Lonchura striata: one gene and its partners. The protein of the gene in region 1 interacts with the protein of each later gene in a biochemical or structural test. Links are inferred from orthologs where the notes say so. Each region holds a gene or a part of one and is shown in the gene's direction. Other genes may lie near its edges. The genes, in order: FGF9, FGFR1 and FGFR3.

What was found.
Region 2: the proteins of FGF9 (region 1) and FGFR1 interact in a biophysical measurement, tested with the Homo sapiens proteins (2 studies listed by BioGRID and IntAct, with this or other methods). The link is inferred for Lonchura striata from reciprocal best matches to the Homo sapiens genes FGF9 and FGFR1.
Region 3: the proteins of FGF9 (region 1) and FGFR3 form a complex in vitro, tested with the Homo sapiens proteins (3 studies listed by BioGRID and IntAct, with this or other methods). The link is inferred for Lonchura striata from reciprocal best matches to the Homo sapiens genes FGF9 and FGFR3.

The regions. Positions count from the first base shown.
Region 1 is NC_134604.1:71,332,608-71,342,665, reverse strand, and holds the start of FGF9 (fibroblast growth factor 9), read left to right. Parts: upstream 1-5,861; 5' UTR 5,862-6,297; exon of another isoform or gene 6,298-6,447; intron 6,448-6,832; 5' UTR 6,833-6,841; coding exon 6,842-7,118; intron 7,119-10,058.
Region 2 is NC_134634.1:4,489,680-4,499,943, reverse strand, and holds the start of FGFR1 (fibroblast growth factor receptor 1), read left to right. Parts: upstream 1-6,045; 5' UTR 6,046-6,084; intron 6,085-10,264. UniProt on the Homo sapiens protein: Tyrosine-protein kinase that acts as a cell-surface receptor for fibroblast growth factors and plays an essential role in the regulation of embryonic development, cell proliferation, differentiation and migration.
Region 3 is NC_134606.1:8,142,906-8,152,751, forward strand, and holds the start of FGFR3 (fibroblast growth factor receptor 3), read left to right. Parts: upstream 1-5,230; 5' UTR 5,231-5,306; intron 5,307-5,492; 5' UTR 5,493-5,543; coding exon 5,544-5,721; intron 5,722-9,846.

The DNA.
Region 1 (10,058 bases):
GCAGAGCTGCCTCCAAGTCCCTGCGTGGCCCGTGCCCGGCAGTCCCTTGTCCGCAGTGACTGCTCCCTTCTTCAGCACCAGCGAGCACACGATGCTTGCCCGGCAGCTGGGGTGCACAGCCCCGTGCTCCCCTTTGGCTCCCCATCCGTAGCTGTGGTCGCAGCTATGAGGTCATGGTCAGCCACCAAACCGGCTGAAGGAATCGCAAAGACGAATGGCATCTCTGGCTGCCCCATTACGGTCTCGTTCGTCAGCTCGTCGTGCTGCTGGCTGGGGCCGTGGCGCTGGTCGCTCTCCCCGCAGCTGGCTGAGCGGTGCTGGACAGGCGCTCTGCTCGGAGCGCTGCTCCTGCCGCGCTGCCCAGCCCGGCTGCCCGGCTCCCGCAGCACGGCCCGGCCCCAGGGCACGGCCCCGGCCCGTGCCCGCGCTGCCGGCGCCGTGCGGGCGCCGGGCTCGGGCAGAGCGGGCCGCGGGCGCCGGCCCGGCACGGCAGCGCTGGCCGGGGGCACGGCGGGGCCGCCCCGCTGGCTTCGCCCGCTAGAGGGCAAGAGAGCCCCGCACAAGCGCGGCTGCCCCTGTCCGCAGCCCCCGGCCCGCCGCGCCCGGCCCCCCTGCCCCGGCGGGGTCAGCGATGCGGCCCCGTGGGGAGCAGCTCCGGGTGGCCGCTGCAGGCCTGGGCTCGGGGCCATTCGGCATGAAATGTCCTGGGTGGCCACGGTGTCGTGGAGGGAGAGGTAAGCCCTTCCATCGGGAAAGCTCTTAAGGCCTTTGGCCGTTCCAGAAAGCGGGCATAGAGCCATCATGGAGCTGGCACGGACCTAAACCGTCGGGGGGACGGCACACCGGGCTGCTGCCGCGCCTGCCGCAGCGCCCATGGAGCGGTAAGTGGGGCACGCACCCAGCTCCTGCCGGGCTGGGCAGGTGCCGACAGGCGCCTTCTCCCTGCGTGGCAAGGTGGCAAGGACCTGGCTGCTGTCGGCAGCTCCAGTCCAGGTACTGGTAATTAGCATCCAGCTGATGGTCAAGCAGTGTGCCTTGGCTGGTGTACGAAGGCAGCCTCACTTTCAGGCAGTGAACTATCTACAGAGGAAAAATATCAGCGAAGGGAAGAGCCTGCAGGATGCCCTGCAGCCTGCTAGCAAGCCCTGCCGAGACTGCAGCTACAACTGAGCACCGACAATATGGGAGCATGAAGGAGGCAGAAACCTCTGATGAGGTGCTGTGTGCTTGGGCAGGGAAGGTGCACGAAGAAAAGCACTGGCCGTGGCAAAGAAGTTCTCAAAATGAGCAGTTCTGCAAGCCTTGCCACACAACTTGCGTGCCACGTTGAGGCCTCTGTGGTCACCTGCACACATGGCAACACTGATTTACTCCCTTTTTCTCCTTTCAATCAGTGGCACTTTGGCTCTTGAGGTGGACGGACTTGCAACACAGTGGACAATCAATTCATTACTAAAATCAGCAGATACAAGCTATGTATAAATAAACACATCACAGAAAATTCAAACATATTTGGCAGCTTTCACTCTTACATCACCCTATCTATCTTCAAGTATCACCAACAAGGACATGTATTCAAAAAGACTGTATTGACACCTGTGTCAATGCACTTTACTTTATCCTAATAACTCCTTCCCTAGGATGATGACAAAGATCATGTTCTGCCAGTATTTGTTTATGTGATTCACTAATTCCTGTACACTGCAAAATACCATAACACCATGTCAAATATCCCACTGCTGTTGTGTATCGCATGGTGACACTGACACTGGTGTTTTCCAGGAATTTTCCATCTAAACTGCATGTTTTACACTAGTGTAAAATTTTGATGAACTGGCCTTTTCTTGCTTAATTTTGGAATTTTTTATAGGAATCTTTTTGGTCATCAATACTGCTATTTTTTCCTACAGTCTCTAAAATGAGAAAGCAAATACATTCCTCCAGTTTAAATTTTCTGAATTTGTAGACATTTCTTTTATTAATCCAGCTAACCTGAGTCCTATGGCTTTTTGTTTTGTTTTGTTTTGTTTTGACAAATGTTTTCTTTATTTCCAGTCAATCTAATGTTTGATAATCATGACTTTCAGTCATTTTTCATTGCTGAGATCACATCAGTTTTCTTTTGAGTGTTAATTTGTGTAGCTGTATTAATAGTTCAGTGCCCTCACCAGCCATTCTGGGGAAATGCTCAATCACATGTACAAGGCAGCAGGTGGGATCTATGCAGTCCTATCTAGACCTCTGTCATGTAGAAGTCTACATCAAATATAGGCTTCCTCCATACACGAGGAAGAATTAAGCATCTTTAACGCATGAGTCATGTTATCCTAAAGTAGATGCCTAGAATAGGTCAGATGATTTGTGCCCTAAAATTGCTTCTATTTCTTTGTGTTAAAGAACAAATCATTTATATCTTGATGTTTCAATTCTAGCAGCCTCAAGTGAGATGAGATTAATTAATAGTCTTATATCCAAGTTTGTCATGCTTTGAAATACCCTAAAATTCTTATTTGTTGAGAAAACTGAAAATAGCATTACTTTTTATCATATTCACCATTTATATATTAAAAAAAAAGCTTTTCAAAGTTTTCTGCCTCAAGACATTTTAGTAAAAATGGCAAATGCTATGTGTTTCATGGGAAAGTCATAACACCTCTCTTTTTAATAACTAAGCCGTTCAGTTCTCTGTCTGCAAGATTGGAAAATAAATGAGTTAGATACATTAAAGGTCCAGAATAAGAACTTGCTCTTGGTGAAATTATACGAGGGGAGTTAAAAAAAAATAAAACCCAAGAAAAAAACTGTTTTGGCAGGCTGAGTTATTTTTTATATGATACTCAAAAAATTATATGTGAAAAGATATTTTAAAACTAAACTAGGTGGCAGAGTACAGGTGAAACAGTTTTCTTTTAAAAGTGTCATAATATCTATAACCTGACAGAGGTGCCACATTAGTGTGGTACATGTGAAGAGAATGTGTGCCAGGAACTCCTCAAGAAATGCAGGATCGTTCTGACCAATTCTGCTCTCAGGAGTTCAAATCCTGCATTAAGCTGATGAGTAAGCTTGTGATGACTCACTGTGGCAGATGCAGTCTTTAATTCCAGGAGGGTATAAAGGAAGTGGGTGTGAATCTCGAGTAGAGGGGAGCTAGGGATGTTCCTGCCTCAGTGTCTTGGGGATAAAAGTGTAGGTTTTTAATACAGCCCCAGCTATCAGCAATGCCAAACTTTTGTAAGGGGTAAGTTTGACATTACACATCACACACAGATTTTATGTGAAGCAAGGTTGGAATACCACCTACTCACAGATGGGTATAATTTTGGGGATGTCCTGCATAATTCATGTGTGGCTTTGATACTTATAAGTAATTCAAACATCAAAGCCTCAACTTAGATAACACTTTTATAACACTAAACTTCCTATAGCAAATAACCTTTAGGCTTTAATTTAAGTTCCCTCACAAAGAAAAAAAAAAGGCAACTACACCAATAGTTTCTTCTTTGCCTTAAGATATTTTTCATAAGGTAAGCTGATGTGAAGTACAAGATAGAAAATCCTGAAGCCTGGAATAAAGAAAAAAAAAATCATATAATACTCTTCACTGGGACTAGAAATGTAAATTAAAGCACCAGAAAGGAGCTGGGAACCTCTTTCCTGAGAGCACAACAGATACCAGGCCCTTATGGTCACTTGGCAATATTCCCCTCTGCTTTACCAGTGGCACAAACCTTTACTTTTACACTGTCCAAATTTTTAACAAGCGATTTTATGTTCTCTTCCAAGTTAGCCATTATGCATGGAAAAATCTCCCTATTAATAACCGTAAAGCTCCTTTATTGTTCTCCTTCAAATCTCCTTAAAACTTCCTTCTGACACCAAACACTTGTCACTGGCTGGGCCTGTTGCTTTTTATTCTCAAGGCTGTTTTTCCCTTATCCTTCCCCCATGGGTTTGTATTATACACCTGTTGTCTTTCATCATGGGTTAAGATCATAAGCTCTTTGGGCATAGACCATCTCTCTTATTACATGTGTCTACAGTATCCGACACAACGGAACTATGAGCCCTGAACGGGGCCTCTGGGTACTGCCATGATCCACTTGATAAAGAATGATGATTTTTGACATGGTGAGTTCTGCAGTTTTTCCCAAGTCATTCTGCAGTTGTTCGTGCTGATATAACCAGTGTGTGAGAGCAGTGTCCTTAAATCCTTAAAAAGAAAAAAAAAAAAGAAAAAAAAAAAAAAGAAGCTAAATGCTTCAGAAATATTTGTGGAGTGCAAGGACTTTACTGCTTTGCTGTTGGGCTTTTTTTTCTGTTCCTGCATATTGAAATGCATGGGCTGATATGGAGCAACTCTTTGTAGGTTTGTACAGAACTAGAGTGATATGACCCTGCTCTGAAGCTTCTGCATCCTGTCCTTCAAATTGCAATAAAGACTGTTAGAGTCAAATAAAAAGGGGGGGTGACTTCTGCACCACTGGTGTGAGTCAGTTCCCTAAAGGTCTGTGTGGATTCAGGACACAGCTTTTCCCTGCTGCAGTTTTCCTGCTAGACATGGAAAGTAGTCTCTCTCCCTCCTTTTGTGTTTAGTCACATTGGCAAGTAGAGGGATGCAGGAAAGCTGCACCAGTCAGAGCTGGACTGCTGGCTTTTATGATGGGGAAGGCAAAGAGAGCCAACCCCTCCACCGCATGCCCATCGAGCAGGACATGCAGAATCAATTATTTTTAATTCACCCCTTTGCAAAATTCTCCTCCTCTAGAGTTCTCTTTCCAGGCTCCACCAACGACCTTCTTGGACCCCGCTACCTCAGAGGTGCACATCATCATTCACACTATGCAATCTCTTACCCCAGCTCCCAAGATATGTTTCTCCTCCTTTTCTCCCTACCTCTCTCTCCCACCACTATTCCCAAAAGAGCCTGTCTTTAGGTTTTGTGCTCAGTTCAAGGGGCTGCCAGAGTGTCCTCTCCCTCGTGCAAGGTCCGCATCGTGCCCAGTCCTTGAGCTCTGCTCAAGAACGCTTTTGCAAGTGCAGGAGACCTTCTGTCCCTTTGCTGATTCACGCAGCTCTTTTCGAAGGGCAAAACCACAATTCTGGGCATCATAAGAAGAAACAGAAACCTCTCCGCTTGCCGAGTCCCTCCCGACAGTTTCAAATAACTTCATTTTGGGGGACGGGGGAGGGGTTGGGGGCAAAGAGAACACGTATTTCGCACTGCACCCCTATCTCCCCCCATAACACCTCCTGCTCGCTTCTCCCTTCCCTCCACCGCGCTCTTACAAACCGGGGCCGAGCGAGGAGCCACGGGTGGCCCGCGGGGCGTTCCGGGCGGTGGCAGGGCCCCGGCTCTACCCGCACCGGCAGTAGCATCCCCGAAAGTGCCCCCGGTAGCGCAGGGGCAGAGCGAGAAGGCTGCGGACTGCCGGGGCGGGGGGCCAGAGTGGAGAACTGCGGCGTGGGCAATACCGAACCCCACCACCCGCCCCAGCTCCCGAACTTCCCGCGCCCCGCCGCTTTGATCGCCGGAGCTGAGTTTGAACCCCGCTTGGGACAGCGGCAGCCCGGTTACCTGCGGCAGAGCGGGCCGGGGCCGGGCTGCGGAGCGGTGCGGGGCGGGCTCGCCTCCGCCTCCCCTGCGGCGGGGCCGGGCCCCGGGCTGAGCTCCGGCTGGGCGGGCAGGGCGCTGCCCGCCCCGCTCCCCCCGCCAATGTCAGCGGGGACTCGGGCTATGCGGGCATCTCCCGAGGAGCCCGCTTCCCGCAGCGGGCGGGCGCGGTATATTTAGCATCGCGTCGCTTTATTCCTCCCCCAAAGTTTCGCCCACTTATTTATTTATTTGCCGGCGAGCGCCGCGCTGCCGCAGAGCGGCAAGAGCCGCTCCGCGCCGTGCCGAGCGCTGGAAGCGGCTCGGTATTGCAGCAGGTAGGGCTGAGCGCTAGGACCTCGCAGAATCCTTCCAGCAGCAATCAGGACTACCTTAAACCCAGCCCAATGCCTCTTCCTGCGCCACTCTGCGTGCTGGATGGAGATCCACAGTCAAGAGCTGCAGCTCAGTGCTGGAGTACAACATTTCACAGGGAGCCCTGCAGAAGCAACACCTGTTTCGAGCCAGCCAAGAAAGACACAAGCACTTGTATGTTGCTGCTTTGCTTGTGGATCGTCAATAATCCTAAACCAGTGGACATCTGCTGAGCCTCCTGAGAATTCTGGATAATAGATTTGGACGTCAAAAGTTTTTTTTCCTTTTTCTTTTTTCCTTTTTTTTTTGGATTTATCTCAGCCAACAACGTGAGATTTCCCCCCTCCCCCTTTGCAGGATTCATGCTGATGTATGCAGTCTGTTATAGAGTAAAAACAGCGCATGCCTTTCTGGAGTCAGAATCCATAAATCCTGACGTAGCCTGTGCATCTTAAAAAAAAAATCCCTATAACGCCTAGGTATTTAAGTTGCTATGGTCATTCTTATCTTAAACCAAATGGAGAAACTACGGATTTTTTTCTTTATTACAGTTGGATGGGCTGAAGACCTTATTGCTTGCTAAGAGCTGGGGATATATGCATTTATATAGATATACACATCTATATGTTTATAAATATGTCAGTGTGTGAGTATAAAGTGGTGGTTTCTTAGACTAACTGGTTTGACCTTGAACCTGTACCAGTCAAAACAGAATATTACTTTTATTTATGCATTTAATGGATTGAAGAAAGAACATTTTCTCTGTAACTGCGCTAGGGAGGGGAGAGGAGTGGAATATACCTAATCTTATATCTCCTGGGTTTGGCACCATCATTATTGTTTATTCTCATTCTCTAAAAGCAGAATCTTCTGATGGCTCCCTTAGGTGAAGTTGGGAACTATTTCGGTGTGCAGGATGCAGTACCCTTTGGGAATGTGCCCGTTTTGCCGGTGGATAGTCCGGTTTTGTTAAGTGACCACCTGGGTCAGTCTGAGGCAGGTGGGCTACCCAGGGGGCCTGCGGTCACGGACTTGGACCATTTAAAGGGGATCCTCAGGCGGAGGCAGCTATACTGCAGGACTGGATTTCATTTAGAAATCTTCCCCAATGGTACTATCCAGGGAACCAGGCAAGACCACAGCAGATTTGGTAGGTATTTTCCTTAACCCTTTAGTGATCATGTGATGAAATAATGGGGCAGAACTGCGGGCGGGGGGACGGTGGGGGGTGCGAGGCGGGCGGGAAGGGTGGTTTGTGTTGATGGCTGATCCGCCGAGGGGAAAAATGAATGTGTCCGGGGGTGCAGATGTACACGAACGGCACCACCGCGGCGGAGCAGGAACCCTTGCCTGGTGTTCGGTAGCGATGTTTGTGTAGCCCCAAGTTCTGCTTAAGAGCAGACGCGTACTGGGAGGTGGTGGTGGTGGAATTTTTGCTCGGGACGTTTCTGCTGAATGATTTGATTTCGCAGTTTAAAGGGTTTTTAATCATTAACCACCACAATTTAAAATTCACCGAGTTTCCTGGAGGGAGTGGCTCTCGTCCTATACGCAAATTGACGAGGGCTTTTCTTTCGTTTTCTCTGCCGATTACCTGCCCTAGTAACTTCCCGAATTGCACACCCTGTCTGGTTCGCTGCTCGGCGAGGAGTGCGCGGCAGCGGACGCCGACCCGCAGCCAGGCTCTCCGCCCGCCCGAGCCCGCACCCGCAGCCGTGCGGCAGTGCCGGTGACAGGCGCCCCTGGAAAGAGGGAGCGCAGGTGGGGTTCGGAACCAGCGGGGAATCCTGCGCCAAAACCTGCCTTTCTCGAGCTGCGTGGCGTGTCAGACTGGCAGAGAATTTGAAAAGAGCATTCCCTGGGTTTCCTTTCCAGGGGACACTATTTGTGACTCAGCAGCGAGGGCTGGAGGGCTGCTGGCCGCGGCCGCTCCGGAGAGCCTGTGCATGCACACACACATGCACATGCACACGCGAGTCCAGTGAGCCTGGAGCTTCTCGGCTGCCGGGGGTCTGTTAAAGGCCCGGCAGATTGAATGTATGAAAGTGACTAAAACAGCCTGGCTGAGCTGATACTTTGGGGTTTTTTTTTAAGGAGGGGTGCGGAAAATATGCCAGGTTAGCTCGCCACGCTCCCAGCTATTGGAAGGAGTTAACTTGTGAGTGAACCAACCTGACAACGCTTAAATTCGGTCGTAAAAACAAAGTCCTGTGTTGATTCTTTTTCTCTCTTTGTATTTTAATGCCAGATGTTGAACGATATCTAAGCTGCATTTTATTGCTTTGTGAAGCTATTTAGATAATGCTGGTGTTGTAGGAGATGATCTCCAAACGGCTCATAAGAGAAGCGGGGAGGGAGGGACGGGGGAGGAGAGGACTGACGCTCTCGCATGGTCGCAGGTTCATCCTCCATCCCCCTCCATCCACTGCTCCCTGACACTCTCACGCTTCTTACAGGCTCTTCCTCCCTCCCACGCCGCGCGCCCGCGGTCTCCGGGGCTGGGTGCGGGGTGGGGGCAGCGTCGCGGCTCTCCCGGGGGCGCAACATCCACGCTTACTGGCGAGAAAAAGTGCGGAAAGTGTTTAAGGCAGACGCGTAGTGAGGGGAATGGGGCTGGTGAGGAGGGGGTGGGTGTTGCAGCTAGGCGTTTTCCTTGGCACGGGCAGACGCCGCGCGTAGCTGCTGAGCCACCGCCGCATGTTCCCCTTGCCCGCTGCGGTGCGGGCGCGGGGCGGCGGGCGCGGCGCTGCGCGGGGCCGCGGGGGAGGCGCGGAGCGGGGCCGCAGCAGGTGTAGGGCGCTGCGCGCACCGGCAGCCGGGGCGGCGGGGGGCGGCCGCCCGCGGGGCCCCGCCGCCCCCGGAGGAGGGCCGCCAGCTGTTCCCTTCGCAAGGCGGCGGTGGCCACATTATTCGTGGCGTCTATTTTTAAAAATGGCTTTCCAGCCGCAGTTGTAGGAAGCTGACAATTCCGAGGGTCAGTTCTTCCACCCCTTGCAGCGCCTTGGCTTTAAATAGATTTTTTTTTTTTTTTTTTTTTTTTTTTTGGTCGGTTTGATCTCCCTCTTCCCCCCCATCGGGACACGCCTCGGTGATAACTCTTTTCCGCATGTAGCGCGCGGGTGATGCCCCTGCTCACTCCGGGGTTGGGAAGACCGGGCACGGCAAACCCGTGGGGCTCCCAGCTTCTCTGCGGGAGGGAAGGGGTTTCGGTACTTTTGTATCCGTGCCGTGACATTGCTGTTGTGTTTGCCGGAAGGTCACAGAATAGCTGGTGCTATTTGAGTTTTGGTGATTTTGAAGTCTTCTGATGATCCTGGGGAGGTCTGCATCCCAACTTCGGGAGCTGCCCCGGGGAGAGCGGGCTCACACGTGTGCGGGCAACCTGCATGAGCGTGTGTGGATGCGGGGGTACGCGTCAGAAGGAAGTTTTTCTCTAGGAATAAGGAGGACAAAGAGAAAACCCCGGGGGCCGCGCGTAAACTCCTCTCTGGGCTCTGCCCTGTGGGAATCCCCCTCCCCTCACACACCTCTGGAGAGACATCAGATAAGAGTAATTCTTTTGTGATGCTATGTTGGATGCGTGCCTACTGCGTACAATGAACCGAGCCATATTGTGTGTCTATACTCGCCCGGTTCTGGGAGCCCTGGCATTTCGCAATTCCTGCAGCAAGATGTCCATCTCTAAAAGAAAAGCTCCCCGAGAGAACTCGGCTGGGTCCCCCCCGTAATGTGATCTCAGATAATCAAAGCCTTATCTCTCCCGGGTCACAAAAGAAATTTTTTTGATGCAGTCTCCTTTAGCGTAGGGCATTGGCTAGACAGTAGAGTCATTGTAAATTCAGGAACTCTTTAACAGCGGAGAGGCGTGTCTCTGTGCGTCAGCACAAGTACTGCATGCACAGCATTAAAAAAATAGGAGCATGCAGGAAAAGGAAAAAAAAAGAAGCTTGTCAGCAGGTGACCTCCGCTCCCCGGGACCTGCTGCTACAAGGAACCGCTGCGTTCATCATCTGCGGGAGCCGCGCAGCCGCCCGCCCGCCCCGCCTGCTCCGGCGCTGGGCTGGCCGGGCGGGCTCAGCGCCGGGCGGGC
Region 2 (10,264 bases), on another chromosome or scaffold:
GAGGACTGGTACTGTGCTGGGAGCCCAGGGAAAACTGGTTACTCACTTCCAAATCCAAGGGGATCCAAAGCTCTGGATGAGGTGGAGGAAGATGGGGAGGCAGCACAGTTACACCACACAGCCACAACCACCCCTCTATCCTGCTCTGGCCTCTCTGCTTCCCATCCTTATGCCAATCACTGCAGAGCAGCTCTAGGGTGGGATCCACTGGATCCCTCATTCATCAGAGCCTGGGCAGGGCACAGGGGCCCAGCTGCTTGGGTCCTTCCTTCCAGGTGCTAAACCTGCTTGAGTTTGTTTTGCATTGCTTTCACTTTATACTCGTGCGGGGGAAAGTCCTCATCCTGGCTCTTGCCCCCAGCTGTGGCTTTTTTCCCTGTAAACATCCAAGTAGTACTTGAAAGAAAAAACCAGCTCCAGTTAGTGGGGGAGGAATTGTGGCCGTGGGTAATGACACATAATGACAGCCCATCTCCCACTGGAAGGAGCTGCTGTTGGGCTTCCAAATGACAGCGTGCAGAAAATGCCATTAGCAGATTATCCAGCTGAAGAATCTTTGCAGTAACAAGAAGGTGAAATGCATCTGGCCTTGAGAGAAGGAGCTGCCAGCTCCATTCTCAGCCCTGTCGCACACAGGAATGGGAGAGGCAAATCCCATGTCCGTACAGATCTCTGCACCAGCCCAGGCTGCTCTGCCCTGGACACTCACAGGGATCCCACCAGGTCCAGGGACCAGTCCCCATGTCCCCGGTTCCCAGCAGGGAGAGGACAATGTGTGGGTGCTGAGAGTACTGCTGGAGGGGTGTGATAAAGGGAGAGAGTCCTCATCTGAGGAGAACCCCCAAGTGATTTGTCTTGTGCCTGTATCACTATAAAGGCTGTGAACTACTGACATTTCTTATCTGGAGCGTCCTCCCCCTGTGAAGACAAGATAACAGCCGAGGAGGTGGCTGTTGCTGCTCTGATGGACTTCAGCACCTTTATCTGCCCCTGGAGATCTTCTGGGGCCAATCCAAAGATATCAGGAGCATTTCTCAGGGTGGGGAGCCAAGGGGACAGGATGGGCAGTGTCCTGGCCCTGCCCTGGCTCTAGAGACAGTCGCTGCCCTGGGCAGCCATCAGGTGTCCACAGGGGAGCCCGTCCCTTCTCCAGCCCACAGGCAGCAAGCTCAAGGATGCTCTGCTCCATTCCAGCCCTCTGAACTTGCCTGGGTGTGTGGGCACTTTCAAGGAGCCCAAGAAGCCTCGGCATGCATCAAGCACCAGGGCAACTGATGGGAAGAGCTGGAGATCCCCTGGGACAGCTTATTAAACATCCCAGCCCTGCGAGCAAGCTGGGCTGGAACAGAATGACATTCATACAGCAGCTCAGCCTCAGTGCCAGAGGGGCAATGTCAAACAAACATAATTAATTTCCCTCTGCAAATCAATCGGGGGCAGAAGTCAAGCTCTCCCAGTACAGGAGATAGACTGCAGTAGATAATCATCCTACAGGATGAGCGTGAGCCTTGCAGCTCTTCCAGGGGCACCTGCTCACCTCCCAGCAAACCAGAGCCTCCCCGTGGGCAGGAGCTCTTTGATGCACCATCAGTGAGTAACTGCCTGCCTGCACTGCCCAGGGCAGGGAGCTGAGCCTGGCAGGACTCTCGGGCAGCAGGTTTCTGGGATGGATAGCTCAGCCCTTTACCTGGCAGCTCTGGCAGTGTGGGGAAGGCTTTGTCTTGGTGCCAGGAGTGCCTGTGAGGATGCAGAGCCCTGAGCACCATTGGCCCTCATCTCCCCTGTCCCTCTGCCTCGGGAGGCAGGCAGATATCAGTCTGGGGACATGCAGGGGTGCTGGCCTGGCTGCAAGCACTGCTGGGGAGTTGCCTGCCTTGACTGCTGTCTGCAGACAATAAAATATCATGTGATGTCTTAATGAGCCCCTCGGCATGTGACAATTGCAGGGGAGTGGAGCTCCTGCCTGGCTGGAGGGGTCAGTCCCAAGCTGTGAGGACCATCAGGAGCTGTCCTGTCCCAGCCAGAGGCTGTCAGGACTCTCAGCCCTGTGATGGGGCAGAGAGCTTTCATCAGCTGTGATTGAAAATGAGATACCACAGGAATGTCAAAGAAGTGGCAAAAACAGCTGGGCTGGGTGCTTTGAAGGCAAGGCTGGGTGGCATCGGTGTTCTGCTGTCCCTGGCTGAGCTTGCTCCATCAGCTCCTGCCAGGTCTCCTAAAAGTGCAATTGTGGTGCCCCAAGCACTGGTGGTCCTGGAACAGGTCCTCACCTCCAAGAAGAAGATGATGTTTGGGCAGTTTGGCAGGCAGGGACTCCTAAAAAATGTGTTTCCCAGAGGAGCAGCCAAGTAGTGGTGGGTGGGGGAGGTTATGGTGTTGAGAGGAAACCAAGAAAAGAAAAAGCCAGTGTGGGTCCAAATGTCTTGGCTGGACAGTGGCCTGTGAGAGGGACTCGAGTTCTCTCAGAGATGGCATCAGCAAACCCCATCCCTGCATGCCACTGCTGAGCTGCCAGCCTTGGGGCAGCGTGCCAGGCGCTCTCTGTGACCCAGATGTTCCAGATGATGGGAAGCGCTTTGCCAAGGCCAGGCAACACACCTGGAATCCCTGCAGGGTGCAGAACAAACCCTGCGACACCTGGAATCCCTGCAGGCTACAGAGCAAACCCTGCGACACCTGGAATCCCTGCAGGCTACAGAGCAAACCCTGCGACACCTGGAATCCCTGCAGGGTGCAGAGCAAACCCTGCGCCCTGGCTGTGAGCGGAGAGTGGGAAAAGACACCAGCCATGTCTTGGGAATTAGCACAGAGGGTGACACGGGCACAGCCTGCCCTCGGTGCTGGTTCCCATCTGGGGACACACAGGCGTGTCCTGCCCGAGCCCCAGGCCCGGGCTGCGTCCCTGGGACCGCGAGTGAGCACATGTGCACGCCCGGCTCTGCCCCGCGGGGCTGGGGCACGTCCCACACGCGTGTGCTCTCCTGGCCGGGCTGGGAGCCGCCAGCTGCCTGCCAGGAGCCCCGCACCCTGATGGGCTCCAGCCTTTTCAGGGAGAGATGGAGCTGACAAAGTCTTTGTCAGTCAGATCTGTCAGGGAAAGCTCTTTGTTCTTCAGCATTTGCTCTTGCCTCCCCCTCTCCAAACCTAAACTAGATGCATCTGCTTTTGTTTTCTAAATGCAGAATTAGGGGCTGAAAGGAGCCCCTTTGTAGTGGGGAGGAGGGGAGAGCTGCAGATCTTTCACGGGGAAGGCAAGGTCAGGGGGGAGCCGCTCTATTGTGCAGGGCCTCTCCTCTGCCGGCTCAGCCCTTTCTGTGCCCCCTCTTCACAGTCCGGCACTCTGGGGACGTGGGGAAGCCAGCCCGGGAGGACGGGCTGCTCTCCCCAGCCCGGGAGGACGGGCTGCTCTCCCAGCTGCGGGGACGGGTCAGCTTTGCCTGCGGTGGATTTTGCTGCTTCCGATGCCGCAGCTGGGAGCCGGCGTGTGGAGGCAGCAAATGAGGAGGAGGAGGAGGAGGAAGATGAAGACCACCCCGTGGCCTTGGGCTGGCAAGTGGAGGCGGGCAGTCTGACAGAGCTGAGTGTGCAGATGGGCACACGTGGGGCTGGAGGGGCTACACGTGTGCACACGTGTGTGTGACTCCGTGCAGGGACACAGCTGGGGCGTGCGTGCTCCCACGGGAGGGCAGAGGTGGGGGCCAGCAGGTACAGCCCCCGTGTGTGCTGCGGGAGGAAGGGGGGTCTGCCAGAGGCTGTGCAAGCTGTGGGCTCTGGGATCCATGTCCCAGGGAAGCTGCTTCCCAAATGCCTTTGTTCCTCCTCAGACAAGAAAAAACCCTCAGCCATGACAATGCTCTCCAAGCTCTGGCCTCCCAAGCCTCAAAACTGCACCACCAATGCAAATGTGTCCACGGAAGAGCCCTGCACATCACACGCTTCCTGCCCTGGTCCAGGAGAAGGGCAGGGGCCCAGCATGGGCTGCTGATGCCAAGGAACTGCCCCAACCCCTGCAGGGCAGGGGGCCCTGAAAGGGCCACAGTGAGCTCTGGCTTGCTCCGTGGTCTCTGCTGCTCCTTGGCGCAGCCATGCCCCTTGCAGACCCCCACCTGCTCCAGGAGGTCATTCCCCCTCCCTGTCCATCCTGAAGGGCTTGCTTGTGCACACACCAGATGGTGACAGCTCATGGTCACTTCTGTGCTGAGCCCCAATGTGATGCTGAGGCCAAGGATGCAGCCAGATCTTTGAGCCTCCCGGGAGCAGGGGATGGTTTTCCCCATTTTCTGCTGTTTCCAAGCACCTTTATTGATAAAGGCCCAAGAACTGGTGCTCTGTTGATGCAATCATGCAGAAAACCATGCCAAAGGACCAGCAGCCCCAGAGCCTGTCCATCATGAGGGGTTGTAGCCCGTAAGGTCTGTTTTGGAGACAGCATAGAAAAGTCTGGGGCAGAAGCCTAGTGGGAGTCATGGATAGCAGGGTACAGCAGCTGTGGGTTCCCCAGCAGCCTCGGCACCTTCAGCCCAAAGCTCCTGGCTGCTGGGCAGTGAGGAAGGCAGGCCTAGGGATGGGTGGCTGCACCCTAAGTGTACACTGGATGAGTAGTGCTTGTGCAGGGCTGGAGTTGGCTCTGCCATCACTGAAATACTTCCCATCTCCAGCTTGCTGGGAGAACATCCCAGCAGGTGTGTTACCTTCCCCCCTTCTCCCTGTCCACAAATCTGTCAATCTGGAAGGGAAATATTCCACAGGTCTTGGCATGGGGAGCTGAACGGTTGCCTGAAGCAGGAGGAGGCTGCTCCTGGGGATGGATGCCCAGCATTTGGTTCAAATCTAACACCGGTGACTGACAGGGCTAATTCATCCTGTCCTCTTCCCTCTTATAACTTAATCACTCACACATTGCCTCGGCAGGTCTTTCCCTGCTGACTGGAGATGTCTTCATCCTGGGATGCCCTGACTTGGACTCATGACTGCTCCCACATGCTTCCCACATGGAGGCTGAGTGCCCTGCACCACCCGTGTGACCCTGAGCCAGTCCAGCTTTGGGGGAGCTCGTCTGAGTGCCCAAACTGGGGCTCTGTGAGCTGGCCTTCCATACTGGGGGCTACAGAAGTCACGCTGGGCTTACTGGTGTGACAATATCCCACTCTGCCTTTTGGCTTGGGAACTGAGTGTGGCCCCAGCTGAGACTAAGCCAAAAGTGTGTGCTGAGAGTTTTGGGGAGCTCTGTGTTAGAGATGCCATGGTCCTGCTCCAAACCTCGGTGAAAACAGCTGGGAAGGGCAGGGACTGCAGCAGTGGTGGCTCCTGGGAAGGACTTGGGGCTGATGATTTGGGACCTCTGAAACATCTGCCCTGGGCCTTGCTCTGCAGAGGGGCTGGCTGGGGCTCCAGGATGCCCAGAGCTGTGCCCACCCTGCTGCCTGCATGCACTGCCCGCATCCCGCTGCCTCCACACCGGGTGTTGCACTGGGATAACGGGGGGTGCAGGCAGGCCCCTCACCCCAGCCGGTACCCACGGGGCCTGAGGCTCCCCTGGTGCCAGCAAGAGCCACAGGGCAAGAATGCAGCAGTGAGGGGAACATCACGGCCAGCATCCCTGTGCTGCCCCGAGCCCAGCCTGCCCTGCCTTCGGGGCGATCACCGCCCGCAAAGCCCCGGGGGACGTCTGGAACGCCACTCCGAGAGGCCAGCGGGGTCTCCAGGTGGGGGGGCGGTCCGGCTGTGACTACAAGCCCCATCAGGCCGCTGAGGAGGAGGAGGAAGGCGGAGGAGGAGCCGCGGCTGTCGGCGGGGCGGTGCGGGAGCGGCTTAGTTCGGCGGCGGCGGGCGCTCGGCGGGACGCGGCGGGCGGGCAGCGGCAGCGGCGGCGTCGGGGCGGCCGCGCCTTCGGGAGCGCGTCCGGCAGCGGCTCCGGGAGCGCCTCCCGCCGCCTCCGCCGGCCGGGCCGGACCGGGGCTGCCATGGGGCGGCCGCTGTGAGCGCGGCGGCGGTGGGGCTGCGCCTCTCGCCCCGGCCGGGGCTCCCCTCCATTGTTCCCGGGAGCGGCGGCACCGCGCCGCCGCCGCCGCCCGCGGGGCTCCGGTGAGTAACGGCCGCCGCTCTCCGCGCGGGGGGCGGCACCGGGACCGCGGGGCGTCGCTTTGTGTTCCGCGGGGCTGGCCCGGGGGCTCGGTCGGGGGACGGGGCTCGGTCGCGGCCGAACCCCCCCAGGTGCGCCTCGTTGCCCTGGCGGGGCGGCTCGACGGCGGCATCGGCGCGGGGGGGGCTCCGCCTTGAGGGACCCGGGGGTTTGCGGGCAGCGGGGCGGTCCGGTGTGCGGGGCTCGGGGGCCCCGGGCCGTTCCCGGGGTGCAGCCGCTCGGCGGGCAGCAGTTTGGGAAGGCGGCGGGTCCGACCCCGTCCATCGGCCGAACCGAGACTGGAACCGCCCCCACCGTCCCGACCCCGAATCCCCTCCCGGCCGCGGGGGAGCCTGGCGGGAATCGGGGGTCGTTTTCCGAGTCGCTGCCTGGCCCCTTATTCCCCAAAAGTAGCTGAGCGGGAGCCTTGCGGCTTCCAGAGAAAAATGGAGAAGGAGCTGTGTTTGGTGTGTTTCAGTTCTGGGATCCCGGGGCGGTCAGCGGGAATGGAGGCGCTGGAATAACGCCGTCCCAGAGCTGGTGCTTCCCTTTGTGTGTCCGCGCCGGTGGGGCTCCCGGAGCCGCCGCATCCCAGCGCCGTGCGGGCTCCGGGAACCGCTCGTCCGCCCACGGCGGAGGCGCCGGGAGTGCGGGGAGGCGGCGGCGACACCTGCGATGGCGGGTGACCGCCGCGCCGATGCGGTCACCCTCGGCACCCGGAGGGATCGGTTGCAGAGGGGTTTGGTTGTGCTTTTTGTGGTTCTGGGGCCGGGAGACGTGGAGGTGGCCGCTGGCCGCGTGTGGGGACGGAGCAGAGCGTGTGTGCGTTCAGGTGACGCCGAGGAGCTCCACGGCTGCCTCGCCGTTCCCGTTCTGCCCGGGTTACCGAGTTACTGCCCCGTGTCCCGGACCGCGGCGGGCCGGGGCAGCTCCCTCCCGGCAATGTTTAAACCCGGGCAGTCGGTGAACCCAGCGGCTCTCACGGTCGCGCTCGGAGGGACGCTGGGGCGGTGCGCCGCTGGAGGCGGTGGTTTCTCCGCCGGGGCTCTCCGGTGCCGACGAGCGGGATGCCAGCACGGGAGGGGGCGCACGGAGAGCCCCCCGCGCGGCGCGGGGACGCCGCGGGAGCGAGGGCCCTGCAGCCCCCTGCTCTGGCTCGCAGCCATCTTCCCCACTCGGGAGCACTTCCTCCCTTAATCCCTGCGCTGGCTGGCACGCACTGCTGCCTTTTCCTTGTGTTGCTCCCAGAGGATTAAAATAAATCGCCCCTGCCCCGGCAGGGTGCAGGCACGAGTGGTGCCGGGCTGAAGGCAGCCGGCGGGAGCCTCGTCTGGGCTGTTCTGCACACAAGGTGCCTGCCCTGGCCATGCGGGAAGGGTCACTGCCAGAGGTGAACTGGAGCTCCCTCTTTACCTACCCACCTAAAAACATAACCTGAGCCGGCAGCCTTATTGTCTCCAGCCCCAGGTGGAGCCCCCCCAAATCCTGGCTGCTGGAAATGGCTGCTTGCAGATGCTCATCCCATCCTGAAAATCCAACTTTCTGACCCTTTAGGGACCTTCTGCTTCTGGACATGATGGCAATTGTGTGTCCTTCCCCTCTCAATGGCTTTCCTTGGAGGAGTGCAACGTAGTGAAAACCCAATCCAGCTCCCTCCCGGGCTGGGTAATGGGTCTCTGTCCCTGCCTGGGATGGCAGGCTGTGATTGTGTCCCAGTGTCCTCGTCCTTGACCAGTCTCCTCCCAAAGCAGTCAAGGGGTCCAGCCCAGTACAGATTTTTGGGTATCAGTGGTTGTTTTGTATATCTGAAAATCAAGTCTTGAGGTAGGGAGGGATCCCTGGTGTGAGGATGCTTCTAGAACTGTGATGGTTTTGTGGAGATCTGTGGGTGTGGCTGGGCGTCCTTCCTGCCCCATGTCCCAGGCTCTCCCACCACTGGATACCTTCCCACAGCTCGGTGCTGGAGGTGGCCCTGGTAGCCCTAAGACCTGGCAGCCAGCTGGGAAGGGTTAACATGCTCTTTATGCTGCACAGTTGGATATTTATTTTTCCAAGCATGTGTCTGCTTTAAGCATTACAGGTTTTCCCTACAGTTCCATGTGCAGTTATGTTTGCCTTTTATTTCAGCAAATACTTGGTTCTTGACCTGAGCCACAGGTTGGAGCACGAGGCACTGGGCAAGGGAAAGGCTTCGCTCCTGCCGCCCACGGATTGTGCCTTTGGTGTGTCCTTCTTCCCCAAGGGCAGCTGGAGGGCTGCTTTTGTTGTGCCTCAGAGGAAAAGGAGTCTCTTTTCATGTGCTTTGGAGCTGAGGGGCATTTGTGCCAGGCAGGGTGGTCTGCTGGCAGTCACCACCTCCCCTCTGAGGGACAGGGACTGCGCCTGATTGGGCACAGTCTGCCACCTCGGGCTCCTGATGCTGTGCAGACCCAGGAATTGAGCTCAGACTCCTCTCCCTGCTGGATTTGGCCTGTCCCTGTTCTTTTCCTGCCTGCTGTGTTAGCCGCTGGCTGCTGGTGCCAGGGCAGCCCGGACGTTCTGACGTGGTGAATGCCACGGGCCATCTCTGCCCCAGCAGGGAGGCAGAGGAAAGGAGCCAGAGCCCCCCAGCCCCACTGAGCCCATGGCAGCAGCCACCCCCATCACATCCAGCACACAGGGATCAGACTGGGGCTCCCCTGCAGATGTCACAGCATTGCAGGGCTCCGACCCTGGCTGGACACCCTGCTCCTGCACCAGCTCCTGTGCTTGGCACCTCAGCTGCATTCCAGAGATGAGCCACAGGACAGGAAGGGGCTTCCCCTCTCAGAGCCACTCAGCTCAGAGCCAGGGGGTGCATCTGCTGTGCAAGTGGGAAGGTCCTGTCTGTGCAGTGTCCCTGGGACAGCTCAGCCCTGTGACTCAGGGCTGTGGGAGATGCGAGGAGCGAAAGTGCAGCCCTCAGGGTCCCTGAGGGCAGTGAGAGACAGGTTGCACAAGACTCCTCGTGGACACACTGGTGTGCAAAGGCAGTGTGAGAACATCTTTCCTGGTACACAGGGAGCATGTGCCCCTGGAGGGTGCATGGATGGGCACAGGGTTGTCCATCACCACTCCAAAATAGCTCTGTGGGTGTAATGGCTGGTTGTAATTGCAGTTTTGGAGGCAGGTCTCCGAGGGGCACTTAGCCCTGGCTCCTCTCTAGCTGCTTCTGTTTTTAGTTGTTTGAATCCACCCCGGAGCACTAAATTGCAGTGTGCTGGGGCCACGGGGAGTGGGGATGGTGCCCAGTGCCTGGCAGGAGCCAAGACCCACCCTGCCCAAGCTGCCATCCTCCAGAGCAAATGGTTTCCTGTTGGGATTTATATAAAAGCTCTATAAACACTGAAAAGAGCCATGCTGTTGTTTGCACAGGTAGAAGCACTCTCCCCACTTCCTTGCCTCCTTCCCATGTGGACACCAAGGAGTCATGAGGGCAGGTGTCTTGGGGTTCCCCAGTTTCCCCTTTTCCCTTGGGAAGGAGGAAGAGGTCTGTGCTGCCTCTTCAGCATCTCTGAGCACTGAGATTCCCTCGCATGCTGCTCCAGGAGGAGCAGTCAGGGTGCGTCCCAGTCCTCCTACCCTCCAGAAAAGCCATGGCTGCTGCACCCTCCCTCACTGCCCTGGGAAGCTGACCATCCCTGTGTGCTCTTGCTGGGTCCTGGCACCCTTCCCTCTGTTCCTCCCTTCCTCCCTCCCAGTGACCGTCTCAGCCACGGGACAGCTCTGTGCTGCCGAGCCATCCCTACGCCATGGAAATATCCTGCTGTCAAGCCCCTGAATCAGCTGGAAGGCACCCGCTCCGAGGTGTATCTGGAGAAGGGCTCTGCTGTGTGCGAGCCAGCACTGACTCATTTTTCAGGAACTGGAGGCACTGGGCTCCTCTCCATCCCTCCATCCCTCCCCTCGGCGCGGGGCCGGCTCGGGAGGCCCACGCAGACGCTCCGCATTAGGGCATGTTCCGGGGAGCATGTGCTGTCGATAAACAAAGCCACTGAGAGACAGAAAATAATTTCCAGAAATACCAAAGACCTTTCTTTTCCCCCCGCTCAAAGAATTCCACCTCCCCTTTCCAAACCCAGATAAATCCCGAACATTCAACAACTATGTCCAAGCACTACCCAG
Region 3 (9,846 bases), on another chromosome or scaffold:
AATCTGGAATATATGTTTGTTGCTTCTTATTTCAAAGGCCAGTAAAAGCTGTGGAGTCACACAATCCTGTAATACATCCTGCATATTTAATGTGCTGATTCATGTTTGATCCACCCACCCTACCTCTGCAGCAGAGTACACTCACAGCAGAGCTTGCACCATGCCCTTTGGAAAAATAAAACTACCATGGGAATTGCAAGAAGACAGCCTCTAGATGTGGCTGGGTTGGTATCAGACACAACACTGTGTCAGCACTGGCTTGAGGGAGCATACAGGCTGTATTAAAGTAGAATTGAGCATGACTGAATTTGAGCTTCCTCCCAGGTAAGTCAATCTTACACTGAGAAAGAGCTTGCCTAAAAGTCATAACAATAATAACTAATATTGACCATAATTCTGCTGTCCTTTATAGACGGAAAACCTGAACTTGTATTTATTTTAGGATGTTACTGCTTGTTCTGAAAGTTCCCATGCCACTCACTACTCATCCCTTTCCCTACCTTGGAGTGGGGCAGAAGAGGTGAAAACCCCTGGAGAAAGGAGAGCCACCAGACAATAATACAGTGGGGCCAGGACCTGGGGTAGAGTGCAATGTGTGTGAGCTCTAAAGGGCTGCAGAAAAGGGAAATTTCTGTAACCCCTGCTGCAGGTGAGCAGTCAGGGTGGATGGGCAGCTGGTGCCCTTTGGTGGTCTCTGGCCACATCCAGGAGAGAAGACTTCAAAGGCAGCTGTTGGACTCCCAGAAGCTCATCTTGGCAGTGTGTGATTTCTCCTTACAGGCATCAGCCTGCACAGTCTGCTCAGGGATTAAACAGGCTAAGGCTTCATTGCAAATGCCCCTCAAAGTGAGGTGCCCTGCTACACCCCAAGGGCAATCCTGCTGCACACACATTTGCCTGAAATATCCTATGTGCCCATGGCATGAAGAGGTCTGGCAGGCAGCAGTGATCTCTGTCTCATCCCCTCCAGGCTCCAGCACGCTGCCAGGGTTTGCTCCAAGGACAGGCAACACCCAGCTCGTGCAGGTGGTCAGTGACACCTCTGAGAGCACTTGTGACCCTGGTGCAGTGCCCTGGCTGCACACACACAGCTGCTGTGCTGAGTCAGCATTATTTCAAGGTCTGATTTTAAATCCCTGCTTCTCAAACCCTCCACAGGCTTGCTCCAGTTATTTGTTTTTGTTTTTGTTTTTGTTTTTGTTTTTGTTTTTGTTTTTGTTTTTGTTTTTGTTTTGTTTTGTTTTTGTTTTGTTTTGTTTTGTTTTGTTTTGTTTTGTTTTGTTTTGTTTTTTCTCAACTTTCTCCAATTGCCTGCTTTGCTTTCCAGGCTGACAAATTATTTTACCTCTGCCAGCACCTCCCATACAAAGCTCTTGCAGAATAGATCCAGCATGCAGCTCCAGTTCACTTGTTCCTTCTTATTTCACCTCAGATAAAACAACTCACTCCTTCCCCTTATTCCTTGTCTGTTCCATGCTGTTCAGTGGGAAACAAATCCAGCAGGATAAGATTTTGTTGCAACCAGCTCACAGAGGGTGCAGGCACAGAGAGATCCTTCACAAGGTGTTTGTCTGTTCACAGTGTTTACCCTGACAATCATTTGGAACCTTAATCTTAGCAACAATGACTTTCGAGCTTGAAATTCAATAAACCAGCCTGGAAGTGCAGTTCTAAGGGCTGGCTAGCTAATAAAAAGCGGTTTAGCCGTTCCAATGCACCTTATTGATATAAATGGGTAGTGACATGAGCTCTGGAAAATGTACCCCAGTGCTGGCATCCACTGATGCTATTTAACCCTTGAAGGTTAAGGGTGAACAGCTTGGATTCTAGTCATGCACACTGATACTGATCTCTGAACCAATATTTCAATTCAGTTCTGTGTGAACTTGTAGCATTCGGCTGGGCTGAAGGAACAGCGTGTTACAGCATTGTGAGGCCACAACACCCAGTCTGGCTCACAAGTCAGCTAACAAGACCCAGTTTTGATAAGAAATATTTGGGAATATTTATTGTGTGTACCTAACCTGATATGATTCAGCAGCTTAAGTGACTGAGACTCTGATCAAACTTGCCAGCATATTAAAATTTGAATTAAAGCTTCACCTACTTCAGTGCTCTGTTCTAACTCAGTATTGATTCAGGGATTGCTTTCTGCTGGCTAAGGAAGCAGCTCCTGTGAGTATCAGATGTATGGGGGCAATTTTTGCAAGATCCTTGTTGAGGGCAGCACTGGTGCCTGAGCCTTCTGGCTGCCATGCTACATCTGGCAGCTCAGATGTGCAGGGGAGAGCTTTGCACAGTGCACGAGGTGGGCTGCAGGAGAAGGGAAGTGATCACAGGCTTTCTGACAGCAATGTCATCAAGGCTGACATTGGCATGAATAAAGCCTCTCTCCATGCTTCTCCAGAGCCTCAGTCCTGAGGGCTTTGGGACAAGCATCTGACAGCCCGTCCTGTCCCCATCTCATAGACAGAGAGGCAGAAGGGACTGCTTAAAGCATTCACACCTGGAGCCAATTTTGGTCCCCTTTTTTTGACAGAACCCTTCATGTAACTTAATTTGAGACTATCAACAGGTTGCACTTTAATAGAGAGAGATTAGCAGCCTCCCTCTAAGGTAGGGCTTTGGAGAGGCATGAAGGGAGGGAGGGGGCTTAGCCATGCAAATGCCCCCAGGGCCTGCAAGGCTCTGCAAAAACTGTCCCAGGGCATCCAGTCTCCGTGGCTGAGCCCCCAGTGGGGTCTGGGCAGATGGAGGTGTGTGACAGTGACAGGCTTGAAGCCACTCACTCAAAAAAGGGCTACCACTCACCATCCCTGAGCTGCTGAAAGGGGCTTGATTTTCATCACAGGCAGCTTTAGATATTAAAGGGATAAACAAATATAAAGGTCTGGGAAGGGAATTCTTATAAAGGGTAAAAGGAGAACAAACATGTTGGCAGAGAAAGTATCCCTGCATGGAGGGGAGTGCATATGCTCCTAGCCTGAGGGGGAAGAAAAACTTTGGGGCTAATATATGGCTTATGGCATAACAGTGCTGAAATAAATGCAACTGTGTTGTGCAGGCTTTACTAGCCTATGTACATGGATTTTTTTTTTTTTTTTATAGTAAGAGAGTGGCTGAGACACAGTCCAGAGCTGCAGTTTTTGCTGCACAGCACTACATCCTGGGCTCTCTTACAGTGGCCACCACTGTGACAAAGCAGCATCAAAAAAATCTGTACTTAATCGGGTCTGTGCTCCCCAACACCACATGAATGTTCCGCATGGTTAATAAATAGGAAAACTAAAAATATCCTGCTGTAGGGAAAACTGCAAACCTTGAAGTTCTTCATACAGGACTATCTTAATGCCCATTTGATTTCCTGTTGTAAAGAGCTTCCAAATGTTATAAGCTCTTGGTTTTTTTTCCAAATGAAAACCAGTTCAAAATCATTAAAGGGCTGAGCTAACTTGATACACGGTGCAGACCTTCACATCTCCCAGTAACCTTAAAACTCTCTGGGTTCAGATTTGCTGTTTCCATCCTGTTACTCCTGGAGCAGCATGAGAGTTTTTACCCTTGCCTGACAGAAAGCAACAATCACTGTGGCACTTTTAAAACTCAGCTACAGTGTGAAAAACCTCACTGAATTCTCACCGACGTTTTTATTTTTTTCTGCAAACTTAGGAAAGCTCCTGGTCCTCCTTTGCTGCTCTCCTCTTGGAAAATTGAGGTAGTAATAGTAACAATACTAACAGCAATAGGAAAAATAACGCTACAACAACAATCCTACCCTGATGGCTTTACTTGAGAGCAGAATTTGGCCCTGCTTTTGCAATTTTGCCTTCAAAGTAATGACGCCAACAACTCCTTGTGCAGTGTTATAATTATGCTGCTGTTGTTTTAATTTTTTGTGATTTTCTGGCACCTCCAGCACAGCAGTTATGACAGCAAACATTGTACAGCTTGACGTACTGCCAAACCTTCTCTGTGACGGTGAAATAAGCACATTTTATTTATATGTCTGCTTCTCCCTCCGTTGTTTTAATTTAAAACCGACAGTGTCACTGGCGAGGGTCTCCACTGACATGTAGGATTTCCTCGCCGCAGCCCCTTTCAATGCTTCCCCACACAATGCCACAGTATTGAGATGTCAGAGTCTCTGTGCCTGATAAAGGTGTCAAGAGAGATCCCGGCTGCGGCGACGACAGCGCGAACGCCGAGCCCCCCGCGGCGGCCAGGAGCGATCGCCGCCGCTCCCCTCGCTGCAAGCCAAAGCTCCGCACCGCCCGCCTTTCCTCTCACCCAGAAAAACTCCCCTTGACTCTAGCGCAGGTTGGGTTTTTTGGGCCCCTTCTGCAGGGCATTTTCAGCTCTGATAATATCTGCGTCTATTTTCAGCGAACGAGCTGCTGTGTCAAGTGGGATTAAAGTAGAGCTGTGACTTCTCTGTATGAGGCAGATCAGCTCGCTGTCAGCAGTAAGTGATGCGTGTCGCTTCAGCAGCTCGGCCGTGTCGGGGGTCTCTGAGATGACCACAAAAACCCGAACTATAACTGTGATAGTGACTAGATCATTGCAGTGGTGACTGTAAATGTGACTAGATCCATCTAGTCAGACTTTATTAAAACAGCTACTTCAGTTGGCAGAGGAGACACGCAGAGAGCCGTGGAGCCTGTCATGATTCCCATACACGTATCACAGCGATTATGGGTGTGGGGGAGTGAAGTCAGGGGGCTCGAAGCGGGTGGCTTCACTTCGGGGTACGGAGTGGCAGCCATGGAGGGGAAATGGGTGCATGGGCCATCTGCTGCTCAGGTGCCAGGCTGAGCCGAACTGCTGCACGCACAGAGCTGTCCCCATCCCACGCATCCCCCTTCCCGCCGCCTCTTCAGAAAACGCGCTGTTCCAGGGCCAGGAGAAGGGGACGCGCGGTGACCGCCGCGGGATCCAGCATGGGAGCACCGCGCCAACTTCAGTCTCACGTCTGTGGGAAGCGGTGCCGCTCCGCCCCGAGGGCTCGGCGGGCGCAGCCCCGCGCGGCTCCGGCCGCCCCCCCGCGCAGCCGCGGGGCCGGGCGCGGAGCGGCGCGGGGCGGGCGCGGCCCCCCGCGGCGGCGGCGGCGGGGCGGGGCGGGGCGGGGCGGGCGGTCCGGCCCGGCGGGCGGGGACAGCGCGGCCGCCCCGCTCCGCGCCCGCTGCGCTGGGAGCAGACGCAGGAGCGCCGCGGCGGCGGGCGGGCGGCAGCGGCGGCTCCTGCGGGCGCTCGCTCCCTGCCTCCCTCCCTCGATGCGCGGTGCGCGGCCGGCCGCGGGGCTTGCGCAGGTAGGCGCCCCGCCGCCGCTCGGCGCACGGCTTCGCCCGGCCCCCTGCACTTTTTTACTGCTCCCACCGCTTTTTTTTCCGCCTTTTTACTATTATTTTTCCTGTTCCTCCTCTGTGTGGGCACTAGGGGCGGGGGGTTTTCTCGTCCTCCTCCCCGCGCTGAGCGCCTCTCTCCTCTCCCGGCAGCGCGGCGGCGGAGCGGAGCGGTGAGCGGCGGCAGCATGCGGCGGCCGGGGGATGTCTGAGGCGGGCGGTGCGGCGGCGGCCGCGCTGCCCCGGCGCCGCTCCGGAGGCATGCGGGCGGCCTGGGGCTCCGTCTGGTGCCTGTGCCTGGCGGCGGCCGTCGGCGGGATGCCGGCGGCAAGGCGGGGCGGCGGCAAGGCGGCGGCGGCGAGGAGCGGCGGGCAGCCGGCAGGTAAGGGCTGCGCGGCCGCGCACACACGTGCTCTGCGGGGACGGCCCGGCCGGGTTCGGCGCTACGAGTCCCCGTCCGGGAGCGAGCGGAGCGGGGCGGGTGGATGGAGGCCGCTGGAGGCGGCGGCGGAGCGGGAGTTACGAACGCGGGCCCGGGGCGGTTCCACCTCGCCGTGGATCGGGGTAGTCTGAAAGCCGCCCAGAAGGGACAAAGTGCTTTTAAGAGGATCCCTGTCTGCCAGGAGTTCTCTCAGCCAGGCGGTGCATGGGGCGCTCCGTGGGTAACAGCTGGGAAGATGCTTGCGTGCGTGTGTAGCAGCGCATCTTCGGCACACATCGGGAATGCTCTGACTGCGTGTGTTCGGGTGGGAAAAGTAAGGAAAGGTCATTTATGTCCTCATCTTGGGAGCAAAAGGGGTGTTGCCACAGCTCCGGGTAGGCACAGGCTGGGTTGCAGCTGAATGAGCGGCCGTGCTGAGAAGGGAAGTGCGTTTCGGGAGAGCCGGCGAGGATCTCCCCTGGAGTGGCAGCACTGCAGTTGCAAGTGAAAAAAAGTTAACACGTCGGGCAAAAGCTGGGCTTTGCTTTTTTCTTTCCAAGTAATATACGGCGGGTTTGAAGCATCGTGTCTCTGTGATCCGCCTCAGCTGCTACCTGAGTCCCTGTTTATTTTTCAAAGCTCTTTAATGGAAGGGAGCCCCTTCGCAGCCCCCTGTCCTCCGGTTTGCATGTACCCGGCAGAAAGTTTCCATTGTTCAGGAAAGGGTTCGAAGCCTGTTTGCCAAAAAAGTGACAGGGGAATAAATGGACTTCGTGGAGGCTGGGGGGTAGGGGGCATTACTTTCATACCCCTTTTGGTTAAAGCTATAAATCACACAGGGGGTTGGGTTTGTTTTTAAGAAAGTCCTAATAAAACACCAGATTCTTAGTGTAACTCGTTTGGCTCATTTTTCACAGCCAAAAGAATTGATTTATGGGGCAACATGGCAGGGACTTGGTCAGAGCAGATGAGGTCGGTGTGCGGAGGGCGGCGAGCAGCCTGTGCTGGCCACAGGGCTGCGAGTGACAGAAGCGAAGTGTCCCCAGTTCTCTCTGGCTTAGCCTGAGGTCCGTGTTGGTGCTGTCACTTTTCAGACACAGTCGATCCCGTGGGGGTGAGCAGCAACCTCGGTGGCTGCCTCAGTGGTCCCTGGGCTTCTTTCATTCAGCCCTTAGCTGGGGTCGACGATGTGTTAAGTGGTGCTAAACCCCTCCCGTGCTCTACGATACTTTGGCAAGTTAAAGCTTTGGGATCCTGTTGGAATCGTAGCAAGTGGCATACTCGGAGGTCACACAGAGGGAATCATCCTTCCAGTGATGTCTGTGAAGTGAGTGATGGGTTGGGGTTTCCAGGGCCTCCCGTGGAAATCCTCGGGACAGTCTCTGTTATCTCTTGGTCAGCATTCTCTAAATGAAAGATGTCACTGTCAACTCTTGCTCTGCGCCCTGGAATGGGATTCAGGAAACCAGGAGGGTTCCCGTCAACCCCAACCCCTAGCAACGTCTTGCCCTGTCACTGTGAGCTATTGAAAACTCGTGTGGATGGGAAGTATGAGGGGAGACAGAGCTTTTCAGTGCCAGTGGCTGTGCCACCTCTTCCACGTGCGTGGGGACGCGTGAAGCCACTGCTGCTTCCCCAGCTCTGTGCCAGAGCCAGCGGCTCTGCCACGGTCAGGGCACCCGCTGCCTGTCCGACCTGGGGGGGAAAGGTTGTGCAAAAGAAACTGTAAAGAATATAAACCTTCAGAGCCGAGTAAAAACACATTTTACTTTTTCAGTCTTTTTGAATTGAATGGTAAAAAGCAAATTCTTTCTCCTAGTCAAATGGGCCATGGGGTATTGGCTCATTACTGAGGGTTGTTGTTCGCTGGGCTTTGCATTTACAGTCTAAGGCCTTATTTTCCATAAAGGGGCTTGGAAGGATTTTTCCCCAGTGATCTAATTCTCCGCACGGGGCTGTGAAGGCTATAACAGCTACTGCTTTGTGCCTATACTCAGCTACATAAAACACACATTGAAGGGAGGCATTCTCGAGGTATGTGTATGTTTGCTAATATGAATACTGGCTATTAGCGGAGGTGGAGGGGGTGCAGGTTTTAACATCTCCGCAGGGAGGTGTTCGGCTGTTGGCAGGAAGGAGGCAGATGGCGGGGCTGTTGCTGAATAGAAGCTAAACTAAAAACACCAGGGGCCTCATCTGGGCTGAGTTTCTCTTCTCTCCCGTTCTCGGAGCTGCTGTAGGAAGAACAATGTCAAATTTTCCCCCTCCCTCTTTTTTTTTTTTTTTTTTTTTTTTATGAATGAAAGTAAGAGAGGCGAGGCAGGATTGAATGTGTATGTCATTCAGGGGCTATGACAGAGATGATTAGGGAGGTCAGTGAACTCCTTTGCAGCCTTGAGCATGCGGTCACTCTATTCAGCAGCCACAGAATAGACATCAATATAAAAAAGCCCGTCCAATTTGCATTAGTATTCAGATAAAGATATTACTTCGTACGATTTGTGAATGTCAAGTAATGCTGGCTGTTTTCTTAAGAGAGCAGCCCAACTGAAACAGCAGCATTTAACTTTTAAGAAATTCTGATAACCATCCTGTCTCCAGTAACTGGCTTGTGTATGTGTCTGCACACAGTATATGTGGAAAAAGGCAGTTTCTGGGCTCTTTAGGATTTGTGTTGCACTAGTTAGCTGTGAGGCTGTCTGAGTGCATTGAAAGAGTTGTATAGAGAGCTGCTAATGTTTGATCAGGTTTGTGTGGGGAGGGGAGGGGAGGGGAGAGCTCTCCCAGTCTGTCAGGAGCAAGAACCAAAGTTTCCTTGTGCAAGGAGTGGAATTGTCACCCAGAGTTAATACTGCACAGGCAGTTTTTTTCCAGAAAAACAGAACAAGTACTATTTGGAGATTTTGTTGAAGTTTAGTGGGAGAGCATGTACCAATTCCTATGACATTTTTTGTGTGGAAAGAAGTGGTGATGTGCTGGCCGCAGTGTTTTTCATGCAGCTGATGGCAACTGGGCTCTTGCAGCCTTCCAGCATGAGCTCAGTGAGGGGTCCAAGGTGTAGGATATGATCTGTGTCACTTTGCTTTGTGTGTGTCTGACTGTTTCAAAGTTCATCCTGAAATTATAGGGGTATTGAAGTGAGTGCCAAATGGCACTGGCTGTTCCTGGTGCTGGCCTTGGGGTTTATGTGTTCAAACCCTCTGCAAAGAGTCTCTCATATATTGATGGTGCTGCTTACTTTGTGCCCTACACCAGAAACCTTTAAGATTTAGTGGGTAGCTGTGAGTGATAGTTTTGAGATTAAAACTTGATCCATTTGTTCTCATGAACAGCAGCAGCTAAAGAGCTAGTTAAGTCTTTAATATTGAGACTAGCCTATTTTGTTATATGCAATAAAATGAGAAATAAAAGATGATGAAGCATCAGTTCTTAAAAAAAAAAATCTATTTCTTACCTTGCAAATAGTGAACTAGAAACTAAACTCTGTTGCAGTGCAGAGATGGACTCAATATATTCAATGGCAGCTGTATAACATGATGCTTTCTACATATATTGACAAGGGTCACTCCAATTAAATCTGAGGATTTTTTTCTTTTAATAAAGACTTTATTAGCAACTGCTGAGTAGGAAACATGATGAAAGTAAATCTGAAAATTGTGTAGCAAAGTGTTGATCTGCTAATTAAATTATGCAATTAAATAAGCCGCTCTGACTGGCATGTTAACTTTTACAACTCCCTCCAAAAAAATCCTTAGTGCTGTTTGGGAAGGTGAACCTGTCCTGAAGCTTGACTGAACGTGGGTGTTGAAATTAGGTGAACACCAAAGAACTCTTCATTATGGCATTCCCACTGTATCCAGACAATTTCCATACAGTGGGACCAAGTCTGCAGGTTCGACAAAGCTGAAATTTTTCATAAAGCTGGAGGAGCATTGCCCCCCCCGCCCCTTCTTATGAGGCTGAGAAACAAAATTTTTCCTTTTAAAATATCAGTGAACTTTGATATCCACCTAAATGCTTAGAAAGCTGTCCTTTCTGAATACTTGCTGTGTACATCTGCTATTCACTTAAAGGAATCCTAAAGGG